3 linked regions of the Mytilus edulis genome follow. The protein of the gene in region 1 purifies or fractionates together with the protein of each later gene. This does not show direct contact. Links are inferred from orthologs where the notes say so. Each region holds a gene or a part of one and is shown on either strand. Other genes may lie near its edges. The genes, in order: DNA polymerase epsilon subunit 3-like, SWI/SNF-related matrix-associated actin-dependent regulator of chromatin subfamily A member 5-like and bromodomain adjacent to zinc finger domain protein 1A-like.

Evidence for each region.
Region 2: the proteins of DNA polymerase epsilon subunit 3-like (region 1) and SWI/SNF-related matrix-associated actin-dependent regulator of chromatin subfamily A member 5-like fractionate together in Drosophila melanogaster (co-fractionation; 4 studies listed by BioGRID, with this or other methods). This does not show direct contact. The link is inferred for Mytilus edulis from reciprocal best matches to the Drosophila melanogaster genes Chrac-14 and Iswi.
Region 3: the proteins of DNA polymerase epsilon subunit 3-like (region 1) and bromodomain adjacent to zinc finger domain protein 1A-like purify together in Drosophila melanogaster (affinity purification with western blotting; 3 studies listed by BioGRID, with this or other methods). This does not show direct contact. The link is inferred for Mytilus edulis from reciprocal best matches to the Drosophila melanogaster genes Chrac-14 and Acf.

The regions. Positions count from the first base shown.
Region 1 is NC_092345.1:43,553,211-43,561,267, reverse strand, and holds the start of DNA polymerase epsilon subunit 3-like, read left to right. Parts: upstream 1-5,021; 5' UTR 5,022-5,180; exon of another isoform or gene 5,181-5,206; intron 5,207-8,057. UniProt on the Drosophila melanogaster protein: Accessory component of the DNA polymerase epsilon complex. Participates in DNA repair and in chromosomal DNA replication. Histone-like protein which promotes nucleosome sliding of ATP-dependent nucleosome remodeling complexes.
Region 2 is NC_092351.1:84,269,634-84,277,452, forward strand, and holds the start of SWI/SNF-related matrix-associated actin-dependent regulator of chromatin subfamily A member 5-like, read left to right. Parts: upstream 1-4,781; 5' UTR 4,782-4,902; coding exon 4,903-4,953; intron 4,954-7,371; coding exon 7,372-7,455; intron 7,456-7,819.
Region 3 is NC_092346.1:30,367,357-30,374,592, forward strand, and holds the start of bromodomain adjacent to zinc finger domain protein 1A-like, read left to right. Parts: upstream 1-4,085; 5' UTR 4,086-4,568; coding exon 4,569-4,681; intron 4,682-7,236.

The sequences.
Region 1 (8,057 bases):
GCTAGGAAAATCGGCCCAAAATCTGACTGTCTAATTTATAAATATATATATTCTACACAATTCATACACACTTCTAAAAATATCCCAAATGAAGAAAATACCTGAAATTCAATTCAACTAACTATTGCTTTTTTCCTTTGACCAACTAGAGAGAGTATAAAAAAGAAGATGTGGTATGATTGCCAATGAGACAACTGTCCACAAGAGACCAAAACCTATCCAACAGTTTAGACTTCTTTTTTCTTACAATGTACATGTAGCTACATGAACCAATAAAAAAAATAATAGTTTGTTTCTGAATTTTTAATTTTTATTCCAAATTTTAGTCTTGTGTTGGTTGTATACATTGTACATGTCATTCCAAATGTTGGTTTTCTGCCCTCTAATCAGCTGGGCAATTTGCACAATTGTTTCTGCATACACGTAGTTGGTATTGGTAATGTTTTCTACTCTAGCTCAGTCAATATAGTACACTGGATATGTAGGATGGCTTGTTTCGAAGCTAAGACATTTTCACATATATGTGGTTAAATTTTCGGAATACGAAGTGCGATTTTTTTTCACACAACAATTTCTTTGAAAATTTAAAACTTTGAATACATTAAAAAACTTCATAGTTTTTACATATTTATACTATGATCCTCTACTTTCCAGATCAACACAAATGGTAAAGCTCAGTCACTTGTTAAAAATGAAACATGTTCAATATCACTACAGAGACAATTTTTGTTTACACACAACTTTTGTGTTCCTCATTTGATGGCGCATTAGTTCCTCATTTGGAGGTGCATTAGGAATATTGACCCAGCTGGTCTTGTGTTGGTTTCAGATCTCTGAAAAAAAAATCATAAATTATAAAATACAAAAAAATAAATTGATCCCAACTTATGAATTACAGCAGTTCTTAAAAATTATCCTGTGTTTACACATAATCAATATTTTTTCTATTGCTGGTCTTATAATAAACTGCAGATTCATAATTATTTTATATTGTTACTGAGATGTTTGTATCTTTGCCAATTATACACATTTTGATGATGTACATGTATGTTAGAAATTTAACACAATTTCAACAGTATATAATTATTCATAACTTATGATTAACCTTCGTTCTTATTTAAAAAATAAATTTGTTGTTAAATTGAACATGTGTTAATGAAATTATGTCTGTTCCAGAAAATACTATGTCCGCCCCTAAGGGACAGCCCTAAGCCCTTTTTAAAAAAAAAAATTCCAGCACCGACAGAATTAAAAATTAATAAGAACAACACTTCCTTTGCATTTTGGTATTTCATACACAACCACCCCCAAATAAAATTTAAGAAAAGAGCTTTCCCTGGGGGAGAGGGGACATAATATTTTCTGGAGCAACCAGTGGTTATTCTACAAATAATTAATAAAGGAAGTTTGGTTTCACAATATTGTCATTTTTCAATTAATTTAAGATATGCAAAGGATTCTACCTTAATAAATTTAGCATGTACATCGATACAACAAGACCTCATATCATATGCCAATGAACGCAATCTATAAAATCAACAAAATATAATTTGATAAATGAAATTAATATAAGAAGAATGTGTCCATGAGCCACAAATGATCTTATCAAACTTAATTTAAAGGACATATCTAGAGAACAGTAAAGCAGATGCTCTCCAAATTCAAACTCTGCATTTTATGATAATAAGCGTTGTGTATTGGTTGCATAACATGTGGTTTAGGCAAACGTTAGATAACAAAATCCAATTTTGAGTTCAATGTACATGTATGTACGTACAGTACAAGAGTTAAACTATATCACTCAGTTAAGGAGGACAGAAAAAGAGCTGATCAACTGATGTTTACCTTTTTAAAATCTTGGTCCAAATTCTTGAGCTGGTGCATGCTTAACTGTTACATGGTTACTGCAATGATTTCCTCAACCTCAGACACATTGGATCTGTGGATTTATATACAAGACTCTGGAAAAATAAATAAAAATACGTTCAATTATCTTTTATATTCTTCTGTCTGTTTCATATAAAAAAGAAGATGTGGTATGATTGCCAATGAGATAACTCTTTACAAGAGACCAAAATGACACAGAAATTAACATTTATAGGTAACCGTACTGCCTTCAACAATGAGCAAAGCCCATACCGCATAGCCAGCTATGAAAGGCCCGAAATGACAATGTGAAACAATTCAAACGAGAAAATTCACCGCCTTATTTATATAAAAAAAAATGTTAGTCCAACAAATCTTTAGGAGAACAAAGTGACAAATTTAAATGCATTCCAAAATTCATATGTTTTATGATTGATTACAACATGGTTTCTGATCACATATTTAGTGATTGTACATGTAGCTCGTCATTGATAAACATGTAGATTTCATATTATAATAAAATTGACGGTACTAATTTTCTTGCACCAGATGCGCATTTCGACAATACATGTCTCTTCAGTGATGCTCGTGGCCAAAATATTTGAAATCCAAAGTTTATATAAAAGATGAAGAGCTATAATCCAAAAGGTCCAAAAAGTATTCTCTCTACGAGAGAAGCTCTACTGTGATAGTCGAGTTGACATATTTATAGACCCTCATTGATAGGATTTCAACCTCCTGTGGTGAAAGGAATCAGAGCTTTGCATGAGGGAGATTCATTCCTTAATTTATAATAATTTCTAATATATTGTTAAATTGTACAGCAAAAAAGATGTCCCTATGTACTGTTTTAACACCTGTAAACTGGGTTTTACCCTGAAAACAAGAAAATTTTACCCAACTTTCAAGGCTAGATCCTAGTCTAAATCATTATGACACTTTCAAGACTTGGAAGGCTGTTTTTTTATTTTTTTCTGGGACGCCTTCCTACAACGACCTAATCCTATTGCGACAACCGTGATGGCTATCTTAATTTTTTTCTGTGGCGCCTATATTTTACAACATCTTTATTGGCACAATTGTCTATTTCCATGTCAGACCCAGTGATACAATGATTGATCGTTTGTTGCTCAACATCCAGTGGCAAATATTTCATGCATGTTAGCGACGACCCCCAGTGATATATGCAGCATTATCATTAATAGGCCAGGTTGGTAATATGCCAAGTTTGAAATGTGCGGAGTTTGTAATGGACCCAAATATCTAAAGTGCTGAGATGTTTAGCTTCACATTTTCTGATATTGATAACATGGATAAGACTTTTATGCTTCAATGATTATCAAAAAATAACAGAGCAGACACTTGTAGCCTTAATATATAGGGATAGTAGCTCTTGTCACAGATAGAAAACAAGTACTTGTGGCTGTGCACCCCTCCCCCTTTTTTTTACTTTCTACAGTTTTTACTTATTTTTGGATCTCCTGAAACAACACAAGTTAATCACGAAATTTAAATAACACACATCATGGCTAAAATATCTTGTATCAGTGCAATATATTGACAGTATAAGAAAAAGTATCATATTTCAACACGATCACGTATAACCGACTTGAAAGAGGCGCCCAACACGGTAACAGCTGTTTTATTTTCATCAATCAAACTTGTTTTTATCATGGAGAACCTATTTGGTGTAATGTGCAATCATTATTTTACCTTTTTCTTTGTTCTGGAATCTGGATCAAGCTATATTTCCACTGCCTCACTGTTTTCAAAAATCAAGCGGCAACAGTGCGCATGCTCAGACTTTTCATAGGATGCAGCGGTAAAACCCGAGTACTGCTGAACGTTACACTAATCAAATCGTGAAAAACGATTATGAAATCCAAGTGATAAATGATGACAAAATTTTAATGATATAATAAACAATAAATATTCATATAAAATACATATATTAGAACATTAAAATTGGATTTGTAATATTTTCTTTGACATCTTGATGCAAATTATGTCTGCGGGAAAAAAGGGGGATTTTTTTTTTAAATCGATAAAATCGTAAATATATTCTAGTGAAGGTGAATGATTGATATATCCAGGAATACTCATTATGACATACCCCAAAAATTCGTCCCATAAAACCAGATTTTTACAATGTATTCACTACGTTCTTATAATCGGATTATGACAGTTATAAGCACGTTGTCACAACGTAATAAAATGTTACGTCCTGACAAGGTACTAAATTTACGTGAATCCGACGTAATTTCATAACGTCGTCTGTACGTCTGCATCCAACGTTGGATTTTTACGTTCCCACAACGTTGGTACGACGTAAACTCACGACATGACGTTCAGACGACCATTAACCGACGTCGGGAGTACGTCGTGTGTTTACTGGGTCGGTACTCAGAGTAGTTTTTGAGGTGAAAATACGGCCATATTTGTCCATTAACAATCATACAACTGGTACCATTCTTCATGTTCTTACAAATTTTGTTTTTCTATTTTGTGTCTTGTATCCCTGAATAATCATTATAGTCAAAAGAAATATAATGAAGAAATCACCGGTAGCATACAGCACATGTAATAAGAAAAACAAGACAAAATGGACCATGGCACTGTTTTTGTAAACTTATTGGAGCTGAAATTTTGACAAGGAAATGTTATAAGTTGAACTAGAAAATGCAATTAGTTAATTACTTTCACTTTACGTGCTATGGGTGTACCTTAAGCCCAATGAAGTGTTCGCTGTTTACCAAAATTAGGACAGTCGTAATTATGTACCGACCGAGCCTCTTGACAACTTTTCCAACTTCCGGTTATGGGAATGGTCTGCATAGAATAAATTAAAAACAAATGACACATTATGTGCATAAAGTGCTTATTAATGAAAATATGAAACATTAGTTTTAACGATCACTTCTATACATTGATCATTTTAAAGGAAAAATGGAACATTAAATTTTCTGCATATATGAAAATATATCTAAAGGACCGAAAATATAGCAAGAAATGAAATACCAATATATTTACTAATGATATTTGAAATCATTTAAATTCGAAATTAAGAAGGAAAGATATAATAACTGGATGGACTTGCATTAATCATTTATATAAATATTGACAGATATTTATCTTTATTTGATTGATCGTCTTTTCGGTTTTTAACAGCACCATGGCCAGTAGTAATTAAAATGGCGGGAAGCTTGGAAAACAAAGAAGGATACCAACATAAGTAAACGTCCTGCAACATTAACTCGACAAGAGACTTTCACATCAACTATCCTGTTTTCTTCATCTATTACATTTTGACAAATGTAAGATTGTACTGACGTCCGGGGCTGTTAGTGTTATTTTTTAACACAACTAAAAATTAAATTTAAAATTAATAAATTTTAAAATAAAAATCACAGGCACTTGTTTACTCGTAAATAAACGTTAATAGTGGGTCTTCCCATGGAGAGAAACAAGTGGCTGTGATAAAAATCTAGTTCAGCCGTAGTCGTTTCTACAATAATAGTCAATTCGGTCACAATATTCTAATGTTGTTATATATGCCTCCTTAACCTTATTTTATGATGGAGCTATTCGCCGTTTCAGAATCTAATGCATCCTGGGTAATATTTTCAAAAGCGTACACCAAAGCGTTTTGATTGGTTTAAAACGTCCTAAACAATCGAAATTCAACCAATGACGTAACGTTATTTTCACTTTGGGGTAAGAACAATACACCTTATCGCTAATCCCGGCTGACCCGCCCGCTTGAACTTTTGACGCATACAACAATTACTTTTCCATTGGGCCGTTTTTATTAAATAAGTTGGTTTACGGATCCGCCGACCCGAATTTTCGCTAATTCAAATAAAAATAAACGCACATTTGTCCTTAAAAATTATTTCCGCCGACCTCATATTTCTCGATTTACTAAGAAAATTTTAAACGGAATTTTTGTGTTTACGTTTCGTATTCTGGTTCCTATTACTGCATTAAAAAATCGTTAACCAGTGCACCGGAACGTGACTGGTAAGCTTTCCCCGACACCCAAAAGCGAAAACAAGTCGCCCTCTTCTTGACGATACTCGCTTTCAGTCGCTTCCGTCATCGGACATTTTCAATTTTTACCAAGTTGATGAAACATCATTTTTTTATTGATAATTAAAGAAATTAAGACATAAACGGTTCATTATCTTAAGAAAAGAGGCTGAAGCATTGTATTTGCAGTGTGTAGCAGTTTATTTGATAAAAAATACAACTTTTTATCACCTCGACCATTTTTGCAAGTTCCGGTGCTTGTTACTCGAAAACGTACATCAACCTAAATTTCGGCGGTAAAATAAGTTTGTTACTTCATTTAAACGTGATAAAAGTTGCCTCTAGTAAATGTTTAATCCATTTATTGCATTAAAAACGTCATGTTCCTTTCCAAATAACTTGTCAAACATCGTTTATTTTTGTAAATTTTCTTGCATTCGTCCGCCATTTACCGATTCCTAAAGTACGGATCTGAACCGGACCAGCTAAACCGAAATCCGTACTTTTACAATAATTATTACGGACGCACGGATGGAACAGCTGACAGACGAATATTGACCACAAAGGAAAAAATTACGTATTTCACATGCATTAAGAGACTTTTAGTTACATCTAATTGATTGGTGTATATAATTCCCTATATTTTTTATGTATTGAATTTGTTTCAAACTTTATTAAAGTTGCTTAACTCGGAGACTATTACACTAGCCAGGGCCGTAACTACATTGAGGCAAATGAGGCAAATGCCTCATCTTAGAAATTAAAAAAAAAAAAAAAAAAAATGAAACAAAAGATTGTCTTAATTTCAAATTGTTTTCACGGAAAGTGTCTAACAAGAAGCAAGTTCTCTTCACTCTCTGGTGTCGCCCCTGCATGTTTTTCGTGATCCATGTTTCTTTTTTACTTTTAGTTTTCAGAATTGATGGTCTGTTGTTTGAACTTCTGTGTCCCGGGTTTGTCTTTTGCTCATTTATTGTCCTACTTTATGACAATAGTCTGAGTGTTGATTTTCATTTGTAAACGTGTAGTTATGCAATGTTGCATGCCCACTGATGTCCAGATATTGTGCGAGAAAATATTTTAAAAATATACTAGACATAAAAAAAAAAAAAAAATGGTCGTTTCTGCATTGAGAATTGAATTTGATATCAGAGAATTCACAACTGGCTTCTTTTGGTTAATAAAACTAGATAGCTGGCATGGTTTAAATTAGAGTAAGGTCACCAATTTTACGGTATCAAATAATTTGAAAAAAAAGCAATAATGTATTGCCATATGACCATTTCCATTGATGTGTTAAACTTGCATTATCGTCATGTTCAGACCCTTTTACAGAAAATAAAGGAATATGGAGTAAATGTGCACGAAACCTAATCGCACACAAAGTCATTGCATAAAAAAAATACTAATGATCAATCATTTGGTCAAAGTTGCTGGAGGGTCTTCAACAATAAAAGAATCATTAATACCGTAAAACAGGGTCAAGATGGTCCCTAGTGTCGACTTAAGCAGTTCTAGTATTTAAAGCATAATACTGCACTGTCACTATATTCCAATCTAGTCATAAAAATGTCACCAAAGTCTAAGCACAATACAAGACTAAAACAGACAGACAGATCCGGTATTAATGATTAGGAGAATTACGAATTTTGCGTTGTCCATAAAACCTTAAAGACTAAAATTAAAATGAATCTATGTTTTTGCTTTCAGACCAGAATATTATCGAAAGAAAGCTAAAAATTAATTGCGTTTCAATGTCAGAAAGAGTCTGGGAAACGCTCAGAATGCACGATTTTGCGTTATTTTTCTCAGAGCTTCTGGGGGGCCTTGAGCGGTCCCAGTCCCCTCGCCAAATTTTTTTGCCTCGCTCCGCTCGGCGATATATTTTGCCTCACTATTTGAAGAGGCTAGTTACGGCCCTGCTAGCTAATATCAATATATTATGGCCCAGCTTAAATTATATATTTTTTGATGAGAGACACTGAATTTCATACTTAAGATAGTTTTGAATTAAATTGTAATTGATATATTATAATTTCTTTACATTTTTCAAAATAAAAAAAAATTTTTTTTAGTGCTAGATATTAAATATTTAGTTGGAAGTTTCTCACAAGAACCTAAGTAAAACTTTTAATTTGAAATGTTACTTTAATTGTATACTC
Region 2 (7,819 bases), on another chromosome or scaffold:
TGTCCATTATTACACGCCATTTTTTCTGATATTTTAAAAGCTCTTAAAATCATAAACTGGTTATAAGTTTTTTTTTTATATAAATCATCAGGTTTCGATCACCACTAAATTCGGCCCTTTTATAGCTGACTATGCGGTAAGGGCTTTGCTCATTGTTGAATGTCGTAAGGTGACTTATACTAGTAGCTATTAATTCCTGTGTCATTTGCAATCATACCACATCTTCTTATTCATACTGTAGATAGGTTCTTTTATCATACCGGGAATTTAAGATTGGACCTAATTTCTAACGGTTATTCGGGATTAACACGTTGGGATTTTAATCTAAAAATAATTGAGAGTTAGTAAAAACCTAGTTTTTATAAATTCAGTAAGAAACGCGAAGAGAATAGCACATTCTCCCTACACGAGGTGTCTGATTTAATATCTTCACGTATTTATGTTATTGACACGAATGATAATTCCAGTAAAAATAATGGACACATTTTGGGGATTGGACACGTTTGAGTGGGTTTTTTTTTAATGGACACGTTTCTAAAGGCGTTTATACAAATGACACGCTTTGGCGCTGTTACAACTAGACATGTTTTGCAGTTCAGTGACGTCGATGTGGACACGTTTTGGGGAATCGGACACGTTTGGGGGGAAGGACATGTTTCTGAGTGTTACATATATATCGCTGATATAAACTTCAATTTGAAAAAAAATTTCAATTTTCAAAATGCCGACACCTACAAATAGATAGATGGGCGCTTAATGTAGTACAGTGGCAACTATTACATACATATGAATGCTGAAAATAATGTTTAGTGTATAGGTTTATATATGATATGAATGGTTTCAACTTTTACAAAACCAGAGCTATAAGTTTGATATAAACGGTTAATTTGTTTGGCCTTTTTAATTTTATTTGACTTTATTTGCCTTTTTAACTAGATTTGAATCGAGCGTCACTGATAAGTCTTTTGTAGACGAAACGCGCGTCTGGCGCAAAAACCGACAAAATTTATATCCTAGTATCCATCTATGATGAGTTTATGTAGATACCTTGTAACAATATCTTGGCTCCAGTCTACTAATATTTGGTCGTAGTACTCTTAATTTCAGCGTAAATAAGATATATATATATATATTTTATAACAACATTTTCGTTTAATAACACCTTATATCAGTACCGTTGTGCAAATCTTTAGACTGATTTAATTTTTTCCTTATCTGCATAGTATCGCCTATTCTAGACGATCCGGTACATAGTAAATTTGCTGGTTGGTCCTTTTTATAGACTTTTATATATATATATATATATATATATATATATATATATATATATATCAGTCTAAAGATTTGCACAACGGTACTGATATAAGATGTTATAATACGAAAATGTTGTTATTAAATCGTGCTGACAAATATTTCGGCTCAACAAATGGCCTTCTTCAAGTGTCACAAGTTTTAACAATACTGATACATGATGTATAAGGTGTAAAAATAGATCAGTAATAATACAGGTAAGTTTTGGTCGATTGATTTTTAATCCAAAAGCCTGAATATCATAATATAAACAAAACACTATAAATCAATATACGTGACTGTGTATATTAACAATAAAAATGAGTGAAAAAACAAAAACGCTAGTATTTCTTATTGATGCCGTTTGGATGATGTACATAAAGTTCCTTTATCCAAAAGCTTTCCCTAACCTGTCGCTGGGCATCACTCCAGTGAATATTCTGTTCAATCACTAGAATTTTCATGCGGTTAAAGTCATCAGGTTTGTGACCCGACTGTCTGAAGTGCTGAGAAACTGGGAGAAGTGGCTTCTTAGAGATATCACTCCTATGGCCATTGAGGCGTTTGTGGAAAGGCTGCTTTGACTCACCAACATATTGGAGGCCACAAACCGAACATTCTAGTATGTAAACAACATTCATACTTTTGCAGGTAACATTATATATATATAAAAAAAATAATAATAAAAAAGGCACATCAGCGAAGCTTCATATTTCAGAAGTATTGTATTTATATATATATATGTCATATTTCCATTGCCCTTGTCCACATTTTAGTAGTTCCGCGATTTGCTAACAAAAATTGAATAGCTGTAAATTTTATCAATTGAATTTCACACTGTTAATGGTTGTTAACTATGATCAATGTGAACATTTCGAGTTCTAGTCCTTATCAGGGGCGGATCCAGCCATTTTAAAAAGGGGGGTTCCTAACCCAGGACAAAGGGGGGGGGGGTTCCAACCCCCGGAACCCCCCCCTCTGGATCCGCGCCTGCTTATCTCTAATACCATAAGCAATACCGGTCAACTTTATTTGCTCGAATTGCATTTGTGCACATGACTTTTTTTATAACTTTATTTTCTTGGTTAATTGGTGAAGGTTGAGGGTGGTTTTTTTTGTATTAATGATTGAAATGTGTCAAAGTCCGTCAGGCAGATTTCATCTGACCTTAACTTTTATTTATGGTTTATTATTTAACAAAGTTAAGTTTTTATAGCACCGCAGGTAAATTATCACGTTGTGATTTGTTTAACGCCGTAACGTGGTGGCCCCCTATGAGACCGTAAGGGGTTCGTGACGCGTTAATTGTGACGTCATCTATTAATGTTGTTGTGTTTCATAGTTTATTTTTCAACAAAACGCAGCAGTAAAAGTCTAGCGTGCGATAAATTCGTTATACGGTTAACTACTGACCTCCTACGGATCCATAGAGTGTGTATAAAGTCCATGGGGGACTCGGCCTCCTAACCCCCTATGGATTTTAATTTTACTAACCCTCTATGGATCCGTAGGTGGTCAGTAGCGAACCATATTTAACTTATAATGTGACACTTTTGTTTAAGTCAAACTTTTATCTTGAAAATAAAATCAATTACGATCATAAGCAGGCGCGATAATTTACATTTTAGTGCGTGCATTATTGTATGAATAACACGTAGTGTCTATTTATGTTGAAAAACGAAGGGTGACATTTTTTCCGCATGTTTGATTTGTTTCCCGCTCGTTTGTGAAACTTAATTGTGAATTGTTAGACAAAATTATGAAATTTAAGAACAATGAAATTTTGTTTGGAATTCTTTGTTGGTTTTAGCCAACCTAACCCAAAATGAAAGGTGAGCTTTTCTCATTACATCGTTCGTCGTCTTCCATTAATTTTTACAATAATCTTCTCCTCTGAAATTACTTGGCTACATTTAACAAAACTTGTCCACAAACTTTTGTCGGTTTAAAAGGTCGAAAGAGCTTATTCTTTCCTGTTTTGTATGCTTTTTAACGACTTTAAATACATTTCCTTTTATTTGATTTGACAATCATCATTGGGATATAAATCAAGTTTTTAAATCATGTTTCGGTTATCCCGCTTACAAGTATGTTTATTTTGGCCGACATGCAACATCGGGGGATTAGGGAGTTTTGTCTGGTTTTTTTTAAAACCGCAATAGATAAAGAAATCGTTGCTTTTCATAATTCATTTGTGGTTTCCAAAAAAAAAAAACACCGGGTCTTATACAAATACAAAACCGGGTCGTTGTGTAGTAAACAACTCTGATAACTCCGGGTCTTTCTATTTGTCATTTATGTCCATGCACAGAAATACAAGTAGTGAGGTTTTCAAAGTGGCTATAGTCTTGCAATCTCCATGTAAATATCTTCCGTCCCGTACCTTTCTTTACAATGAGTATAAATGAGGGGGGATAGGACCTTTATCGGGACTCCGGGATCGGGTGTTTTTAAGCTCGGGATTTCGGGATTGACCCATTCGGGATCCGGGAATTCTTTTTTTCGGATTTCGGGACGTCGGGATTAACTTTATTTAAATTCGGAATTTTGGGATTTCATGTTTTTAAGCTCGGGATTTCGGGATCAGGACCCCTCCTATCCCCCCTCATAAATTAACAGGAAATTAAAGGCAAGGTTCACTATAAATGTATCATCTTAATTTGCAATTTCTACATTAATCTATAAAGATTACAGAAAATATAGCACCTCAAAATCGAAAATTGTATGTATTTATACTCTTGGATATCATAAACAAATAGTGCACAAATACCTACTTTTTCCGTCTGCCTGTTGATGTTCCATCACAGTTCCGAACATCAGATATCATTGAGTTCACACTTTTTACCGGGATAGTTTAGACACAGTGTACATGTGCTGAGTTTTAACTAACAAAGTCACACAAAATAATTCTCTGAAATTGTAATTTTGGCAAAAAAATATACAAAAAAACGTCAGAAAACTATTCTCGGATATAAAGAAAACAAAACGGAAAAAATAATATTAGATGGCAGTTTTATTATTAAATGGCGAAATAACTTTAAATAGGTGCCTATTTGACAAGGTGCATTAGCAATATAGAATATAGGTACCGAATACACCTTATCGCTAATCCCGGCTGACCCGGCCGATTGAACTTTTGACGCATACAACAATCACTTTTCCATTGTGGCGTCAGGTATTTTGTTTTGTGACGTCAAAAATTTACGGGAACCTGTGTGATATCTAGTTATGGCGGACAAATAGCGATAAGGTGTATTGACCAGGTCACGTATTCCTCGATGGGTACTCCAAATAAAGGAGGGATCTACGTACATACATAAATTAGACTAATGTCTGTCTAAATTGTAAAGTTATTTATCCAACCGAGTCTATTAAAGTTGTGAATAACTAAATTTTAAGGTATGCGAAGCAAAAAATAAACCAAAAAACAAATGTTCAATTCTGGGTCTAATTCTAAGGTCAGAGTAAAGGGATATATTTTAGCATTTTCCATAACAATTGCGCAAGCGTGAATTTAACTTCCGGCAAAGCGCAAATTTTGCCGGTGATTCGAAACGACAAAGAAAACAGCATATATTTTAGCAATTAGTCTGAGTATAGACCAAACAAACCATGTCTGACTCAGAGGCTGAAAGTACCAACGATGAACCAATGGAACTAGCTGTAATTAGCCTTATAGAAATTGTGGAAAACGTTTAACAACAAACTGATATATAAAAATTTGCATTTTTGCGGGAAATTGTCGTAAAACTGTTATTGAAATATTACCAAACAATTAATTTTCTTAAGCCCTAACTGTTTTACTCGTACATCATGACATACTTTGTGGTTTAGGGTTCATGAAAACAAATGTACAAAAAATGGCTGTGTCACTGTCTGTGTTTACAAAACTTTACAAATCTCAAACTACTGAGTGTATAGTACGGTATCAGGTCCGTTCGCGCCCAATATACTTTCGCACCCTACACGTTCGCACCTCGCACGTTCGCACCCAAGGTCCGTTCGCACTCTACACGTTCGCGCCCAATTTTAATTCAAATTCGAGTTGAATAATTGGAAAATCATGATTGTTGTTTTTAATTGCTTTCGTGTAAATACTGAATGTATTTATAGCTTGGTATGAGTAAAAGATTGAAGATTTTAAATGAAAAACACAAAAGATAATTGTTTTTAACAGCTTGGTCCCTTTGATCTGAAATAATGAAACAATACACTATTATATATTACTATACATGATAAAATTTAATCAACACACAAAAAAAAAAGGAAACGTAGTCAGAATCTCACTTCATTTTGAAACAAGTCAATGAAACAAAAGTTATAGCAATACACTAACCAAAACATGATAAACAGTTATTCAACACAAAATAAAACGTTGACAGAATCCCACTTTATTTAGAAAGGAATATATTTTTTTTTAACAATACACTATCCAAAACATGATTAAGATTTATTCAACACAAAAAAAAATGCTGTCTCACTTTATTTTGAGACCATGAAAACAATTATACTTATAAGAATACTACTTGCCAAAACTTGATTACAAAGTTATTAAACACAAAACCAATTAAAACTGGGCGCGAACATGTAGGGTGCGAAAATGAAAGGGGGCGAACATGAGTGGGTGCGAACGTGAATGGGCGCGAACGGACCCGGATTCGTATAGTACCAGGATTTATCACAAACTGATGTGTATAACCTTGTTCTCAGTACCATATTGCATTTCTGAGAACTCAGAAAAGCATTGTACCCCTGTGATGCCAAAAAAAATATATCTGTTTAAGGTTACATCATCAAAATAAATAGGGTAGGTAGGTCGGTATGTCCATTTTATTTTTTTTCCTGCAGTCTGCCTTGCCATGGGCCGAAGTTACCCGTATTTTTAATGATTGGATTATTTCCCTTTGTTATTGATTGGGAAAAAATGACGGCAAAATGTTTATTAATCACACGAGTCGCAAATTTCCTTAAAACAGCTATCATATTCATGATTATGAACATTGGGATGCATCAGGCAACACTATCTTCACTTTTAACACGAGTTCAGTTTATTTTTCACTTCACAACTGAAATAAAATGGCTTAGGGTGGGCGCTCAAAATAGGGTCGGTCTGGTAACCATAAACAAGAAACATATAATAATTTATTTTTTTTGGCCTGAGTAAATTTAAATATAGAATGCAGGACGCAACTTCCATGGGATGAAACGTGTACCTTGAAAAGATGTAATGGCATACTTGTGAAAATGCATCGTCCATGTACTTTTTTTTTTAAATACATTTTATTAAATCAATTACATAATATATATATGTACATCAAATGGATGTTTAATATCTTGTATAAACAAACTGAACAAATAAAACAAATAAGAACATTGAAGAATCAATATTCAAATGGATGATTAATTTCTATCATCTTCAAAACAATAAGTTAAGTTTGAAATATAAAACAAAGTAATTAAATACATGTAATGATTAAAAAAAAAGTGTTACATCTTGCAAATGAAAATAGATATGTATTTTTACAATTCTTACTTGCAGGCAAAGGAATATGACTCGAATATTACAAGTTTAAATTATGCATGGTTGCAATGCCTAATAATCACAAGAGACAATGATTAATCAAATTTTGATTGGCTAATAAACATGATTAAATCCCATACTTTCTACATAAAAGCTTGGCTATAACATGTCATATGTTGATTGTTGACAGTCATGTGCTTTTTTGACTGGAAAATAGGGGATTCTGACAAACACCTGCAATAGGAGTTTTATTAAAATCTATATGATCAACATGATGAATAATAACTTTTTGGGATAAAAATGATAAAAGTGAAGCAAGTATCAATAAGAATTAATGACTAAGATAATAACGTACAATGTATACCTTGCTAATAAGAATAGAAATCCTTACCTACTGACCCTACTTTTAAAATTACATATGCCTTTACTATCAATATCATAAAAAGTGATTGATTGGTGTTTAATTCCACTCTCAGTACAATTGTGTTTCTGTATTTTGTGTGGTCAGATGTTTTGAAGCCTGTACAATTAAACACAATCTATTTAATTTTCTATTTCAGCCAACCATTGAACCAACAGTTCTACTTAAGTCTCCACCTAAAGTGAGGAATCCTCAGGAAAATGCACAATTTGAAGCTAAAATTGTAAGTATTGCCTAAAATGTTATGCTCCTGATGCAGATCTAGAGGAGCAAACATTATTATATAAAAAAGAAGATGTGGTATGATTGCCAATGACACAACTGTCCATAAGAGACCAAAATCACACAGAAATTAACAACTAAAGGCATACCTGTCAACCTGTGACGATGAAAATGCAGGTCATGACCTGCTTTGAAGAATCAAATCTCAGGTCATAACGCGTACAAACTTTTTCTAGCTGAATTTCAGTATTTATGGTACATTTTCTTATAATGTATATCAAAGATACCAAAACATCAATGCATGTTCACTTGGTTAAGTCATTTTAAATCTTATTTATTATTATTTCATTACACTTTTAATGATT
Region 3 (7,236 bases), on another chromosome or scaffold:
TAGTTCGATATCTGACATAACTGATAACTGACATAATCTATGTTTCAGAGAAATCGAGTTCAATAGGATATCTGACATGATTGGTGCATAAGGGGAATGGATCGCAATACTATATTTGACGTTACTGGTGATTCAGGGAAATATATCTCACTGGGATATCTAACATAAATGGTGCATCAAGGTAATCGATCTCACTTTGATATCTGTCATGATTGGTGCTTCAGTAAAATCAATCTCAAAAGGAAATCTTACATAAATGATGCTTGAAGGAAATGATCTCACAAGGATATCTGATATAATTTGTGTTTCAGAGAAATCGAGCTCAATAGGATATCTGACATGATTGGCAGGTAAATCGATCTCAATACTATATTTGACATAACTGGTGATTCGGGGAAATATATCTCACTAGGATATAAGACATAAATGGTGCATCAAGGTAGTTGCAATTGATCTCACTAGGATATCTGACATGATTGGTGATTCAGGAAAATCGATCTCATTAGGAAATATGACATAAATGATCCCACAAGGATATCTGATATAATCTTTGTTTCAGAGAAGTCGATCTCACTGGGATGTATGGCATAAACGATGCTTTGAAAAGGACACATCTCACAATGACATCTGATATAATTGATATTTTAGAGAAATCGATCTCAAAGGGATATCTGACGTAGATGGTGATTCAGTGAAATCCATATCAATTTTATGTTTGACATAACTGGTGCTTTAGAGAAATCAATCTCCCTGGGATATCTGACATAAATGATGTTTCAGGGCAATCGATCATGATCGAGTATCTGACATAAATGGGTTTTTTTCCCAGGAAAATATATCTCAGTAGGATGTATGGCATAACTGATTCTTCAGGGAAATCGATGCCACAAAGATATCTGATAAAGAATCATTTTGATAACAGCGTAAAATTCATAAGACAATTTCAGTATTTTCTTTGCGCGCTCAGGTTTTAAATTTATTGGGTCAGATTAGGTAGACGTTCGTCTGTAACACCTACTTGTCAGCCATTTAAACTGGGGGGAAGGGGTCGCCAATAATTCTAAACGCCTAAATCAAATCAAACGAAAAACTAGCATAGAACAAGACCTTGTGTGTTGATTTAAATGTTGGGTACTTAAACTTTTTTTTTCTTCTCGTGCACCTGCATGTACCTTACTCTTTTATTCTATTTAAATCGTCATTGGAAGTCCTCTGGCAGTGGTCGTAAAATCACTGTTATCGTTAGCCTATGATAAACAAGTTAAACTGGGTTAATGATTCAGTATAACTACCTACATAGTATTGCGGTTGTCCATGCTGTTATGAAAATGATTCTAAATGGTGCTTCAGAGAAATCGATCTCAATAGGATATCTGACATAACTGGTTCTTCGTGGAAATAGTTATCATTAGGATTCTGACATGCAGTGGCGGATCCAAGGGGGGGGGGGGGGGTTCCGGGGGTGCGCACCCCCCTTTATTTTTGCCGATCAATGCATTTGTATCGGGACATATGTTTTGCACCCCCCTTTGCCCTGGGTTAGCACCCCCCTTTCGAAAATTCCTGCATCCGCCCCTGACATGATTGGTGTTTCAGAGAAATCGATCTCAATAGGATATCTGACATACATGCATGGTGCTTCAGTGAAATCCATATCAATTTTATGTTTGACATAACTGGTGCTTTAGGGAAATAGTCTCACTAGGATATCTGACATAGGTGGTGCATCAGGGAAATCGATCTCAATAGGATATGTGACATAAATAGTGCTTCACGGAAATGTATCTCAATAAAATGTATGACATAGGTGGTGCATCAGGGAAATCGATCTCAGGATATGTGACATAAATAGTGCTTCAGGGAAATGTATCTCAATAAAATGTATGACACAGGTGGTGTATCAGGGAAATCGATCTCAGGATACCTGACGTAAATGGTGCTTCAGTGAAATCGATATCAATTTGACATATCTGGTGCTCTAGGGAAATAGATCTCACTAGGATATAAGACATAGGTGGTGCATCAGGGAAATCGATCTCAATAGGATATGTGACATAAATAGTGCTTCAGGGAAATATATCTCAATGAAATGTATGACATAACTGGTGCTTCAGAGAAATCGATCTTAATAGGATATCTGCCATATAAATGGTTCTGCGGGGAAAAAATAGTTCTCATTGGGAATTCTGACATATTGGGGCTTTGGGGAAATCGATCAAATTTATAGGACATCTGACATAACTGGTCTTTCAGGGGAAATCGATCTCACTAGAACCGATATATAACATAAATGATGCTTCAGGAAAAATCGATCTTACTTGGATATCTGACATAATTGTTTCTTCGTACTTTATTTTGGGCTTTTTAATTTGTTTGATTCGAACGTCACTGAAGAGTCTTTTGTAGACGAAACGTCCGTCTGAGGCAAATACAAAATTTCAATCCTGGTATCTATAATGAGTTTATTTAAAGGGTAATATAATTCATAAACTGTATTTTACCTCGAAGAATTTTCTCAAAATATTCCTCTCCCCCTTTTGAGCTCACCTGGCCATGGCCCAATGGTCCAAGTGAGCTCTTATCATCACTTGGCGTCTGTCGTCCGTCGTCCATAAATTTTTACAAAAATATTCTCCTTTGAAACTACTGGGGCCAAATTTAACCAAACTTGGTCACAATCTGCATTGGAGTATACATGCATGGTATATATGAAGATGGTCGCCGTGGCTAAGAATAGAACGTATGGGTAACGGTAGATTTTGGTCTATATCTCTGAATCCAAAGCATTTAGAGCAAATCTGACATGGTATAAAATTGTGTATCAGGTTAGAACCTATCTGTCGTAAAATTTCAGACGAATCAGACTAGCTGTTGTTGGATTGATACCCTTGGTAATTTTAAGGACTGTGTGAAAAATTGAAGTATCTGGTAATTATCTTGAATATTATTATAGATAGAGATAAGCTGTAAACAGCAATTCATTCAATAATGTTCAGCAAAGTAAGATCTACAAATAAGTCAGCATGACCAAAATGGTCAATTGGTCCCATAAGGAGTTCTGTCCTTTAAGGTCAAATTTAACAATTTTTCTTCTCCTGAAACAACTGAGACAATTTTTTATCCCAAACTTGGCCACAATAAGCATTAGGGTATCTATCTTAAAGAATGTGACCAATAAAACCTGCTTGCCAAACAACATGGTAGACATGGCTAAAAATATAACATAAGGAGAATAAAGTTTTTGACTTCGATATCTCTAAAACTAGTAAAGCAAAAGTATATCGGTTGCATTATTTCATGCATCAATAGTCCATTTGCCAATTACCAATTTGCTTCTGTTATAAAGGTGTTATGGGTGTCTTTCTACATCTTGGTTTTGTGAAAAAAACAGATTCTAAGGTCCAGATTTTCAATCAAAATAGAAAAATTTGATGCAGGAATGCCGATAACTAATGTGAATTTTCATTCAAAAGAACAAATCAATAAGAATATATTTTATGAAAATTAATATTTTTACAAGTGTATGTTATTTTGGTTGATTTTTAATTTATTTTTAAATTAGCATTTAAGGGGATATGTAGCTCTGAAACAATGCATTTTCTGAAGGAATCTATATATACATGGAATTTTCATATGTAGTATTTTAGCCGAAAAAAACGTACGGTGACCCTATACCTTTTCTTTTGATATTCTCAAAGACTTGTATTAAAGTATCTTTTCGAAATTTATATTACAATTCTATCATTTAGTTTAGTTTCAACTTATTTTCCTTTATAATCCATACAAAATATGCCATTTTGTCACAACCTGAAGCTTGAGAAATGCACGGTGGCCTATCTTTTTTTTTTTAAACATATATCAATATATATTACGTTTTGGTAAAAAAAATAAACAAATTCTATCATTTATATTTTAGACTCCCATATGAAAATATCAGGTGAGCGACACAGGATTCTTGGAGCCTCTAGTTTTATATGCATTGATCTGTTGTTACTTCCCTTGAACAATTTCTTGTCTTAGAGGTCGATTTAGTGTGCAAATGGGAAATTTACATACCTTGTCAATCGTTCATTTCGTGACCAATCAGATAGTTTGTTTCATTTATAGACTCCGCCCAAATTGTACTTTTTTCCTTCGAAATTTTCGAAGACACTACGGTTTTACCCTTGTTTTTTTGTTTTATGTTATGTTTAAAGACATATTATCGCAACCATTAGTTAAATAAATTACTTAACTTTCATCGTCAAACAGATTTTCGGATCAAAGAAGAGATAAAGTGGTAGAAAAACGATCGTTTTCTCCCCCCTCTCTCGGTCGGCGCGAAGTTCACATTGTGCTGTTTCACGCTACAATCAAATGACCTCGTTGTCAGACGGAGATCGAAGACCTAGCAGTCTTAAGCATAATAATTAGTTTTCAAAGTTTACATGTGTTAATTTTAGCTGACATTTTATGACACATCGAATGAAGATTCTGTCACAGCATGCAGAAAGCTATTTTGTGTCTTATTTAACAGTTTCAACAAAAATTTCTTTGTGATTCCCTCCAAAAAATTTCAACAGTTCAAGATGCCGCTATTACGAAAACAGCCATTTCACAGACAACCAGTACCAAGTTCCCTTCAGCCTGATGACGATGTATTTCATTGTAAGCTGACAAATGAAATCTTCAAAGATTATGAGTAAGTTTATTTTCTTAGCCCTGATGTTCGGTGAACATTATTAATCTAATGTATGAAAATGTGATTTAGTTTTCTGTCGGCCATTTTGTATCCTTCCTATATATAAATTTACACTAAATAACAGAAATATGTTCCTCAAAAATATTTTGTTTGTTTGTTTGGTAATTTATATCATTATGAAATGTGTTTTCCTCTAGCTTCTACAAGAATGAACTACTGAATGTGTATATGGGTCAATTAATTTGGTTAATCTATTCTGATAAATATGCATATTTGTTATATACAAACCTACATCAACCTGGAATTCTATCTTTTAATATACTTAAGCATGTGTGAAGGATTCTGAGAATACAAAATGTATTCCCATGCAAGTACTCAATCCATGTTGAAGTCGTTTAGTATTACTGCTTTTCAAGGTAGTCAGCTCCGCTGTATCCACAGAAAGATATCATCTATTGGTGGACAAGTGCTGTTTTATATTTAAGAACAGAATCATAAGTTTTTTCTTAGAAATGATACTGTCATTTCGTAATCTTTCTAAGCATATCTGCATACAACAATAGAATACAACTTTTGAAGCCCCCCTCTCTATCACTATCAGGAATAGGGGTTTAGTAATAGCTCTAAGTATGTATTTGCATAGTACTTTGTAAATGGTATTTACATCAAGGCTAAGATGTAAAGGTGCGTTTGATTAATAATTCATCTGGTTGCTTACGGTAAGCCTCTGGATGCTTTAGATAAGCATTTTGAATTTGTTTGGTTGCAAAATTAGCCTGTCTACAAGCTGAGATACAAGATACTTTTTATATAAAATGGATTTTCAAAGAAAAATCTTGTTGGACTCTTTTTTGTCAACAGTTTTATAAGGCCAAATAAAAATATATGTGTGGTTCCAGTAACCCGACCGACCCTAGTTAAAACCCCTCGACACTAGAACTTTTTTTTTTCATTTCTGAAAAATATATTTTCAAATGATCAAATTTTGAGGATTGTGAATTAAAATGATTAAATTCATAGATTTCTGTCACAGTGATCTGGAAGGTTTTTTTCCCTATAGGCCCAAGGCCCCTCAAAAATAAATTCAATGGGCCATTTTTAAAAATAATGGGCCTTGTTGTCAAATGAGTGGGCCATTTAAATTGACTTCTGTAAACAAAAAAAAGTATCAGTATATTTTGGCAAAGAGGTGTACATGTTGGTACATTTACTTACCTTTATGATTTTAAATAAAATCATGGATATTGTTCCTGTGATTTTGTAATTTCAATTTCAATGAATATACAATAACTTCTTCAAACCCGAACAATATTTAAGTTAACCTTTATTTACAATGTTTAAACTGGTACTGTTGCCTTGTTCATGTCCATGGTTGTTTTTTTGTACATTAAATTTGGGTCTTCGTCGATACCATACTTATTTCAGAGGACATTTCAGGCATTTCCTCTGCATTTCTTGTATTATTATAACTTCATCACGGTGACAAGAATAACAGTATAGAGTACCATTAATTTATAGCACAAAACAACAAATCGCTGAAGTCATGATTACAAAATGTCAAAACGTACCAAAGACCATAAAATGACAAGGACAGTTAAACGTCTTTTATGGAGACAAACACTATATTCCTAAAAAGTCTTTGGGGTTCTTCAATCGAAATAATAGCAAGCTAAACTTAATGAGATTATTTTTAGAGTTAAATCTCGTCTGTACTAGCCAAATTTCACAAATTTAAAGTTGTTTATAAAAAAAATATATCATGAATAATGGTTAATTACGTTTTTTCGGGTTATCAGTTAGATCACATGGTCTTATTTTTACAATAGGAAAATACCCGATACATGAAACTGCCTGGTTTTATTATCATAGGGAAACACCCGAGACGTCCCAAAAATATATAGGTGCTCCTATTATTGGAGGAACATTACACTGTTATGTACACACGCATGGCGGCACGGAACACGATCGGAAATCCAATTGATGATATCGAAGCGTTTCAAAACGTAGTGAAAAATATCGTGCGCCACGTTGGCGCTTACATTTGTCACTGTATGTGCCATTTCTTGTCAATAGGCGCAGGGCGCACGTCCTTCCCGATCACTGCTGTCATCTGAATTTCCATCACAAGTATCTGTTATGGCTAAAATGCAAGAATTCATAACAGAATGCAACAAAATTAACTAAAAACGTATCATGACTGTTTATTTTACAACCAAACATGTAAAAATGGTGGACTTCCGGTTGGGGTGTGTATAATACCAGAAACAATTTCGGTAAACACACAAATTTTCCGGATTTTGACATTCAAAAAAAAAATATTACAAAAAATAAAAAAAATTGCAGACCTACCGAGCCTATTTTTTAACAGTATGTAACTGGAACCACACATATAATTTGATTTGGCCTAAGATCTGATGAAGATTTTTTTTTCGCCAGTACAATTTATGAACTAAGAAACTTTAAAAGTTTGTAAGCGTTCCGTGGAACTCAGTGTGTTGCCTACTTTTGCTGTTTATCTCAGGCTCAACAAAAATGAGGAAAAAAATAATAAAAAT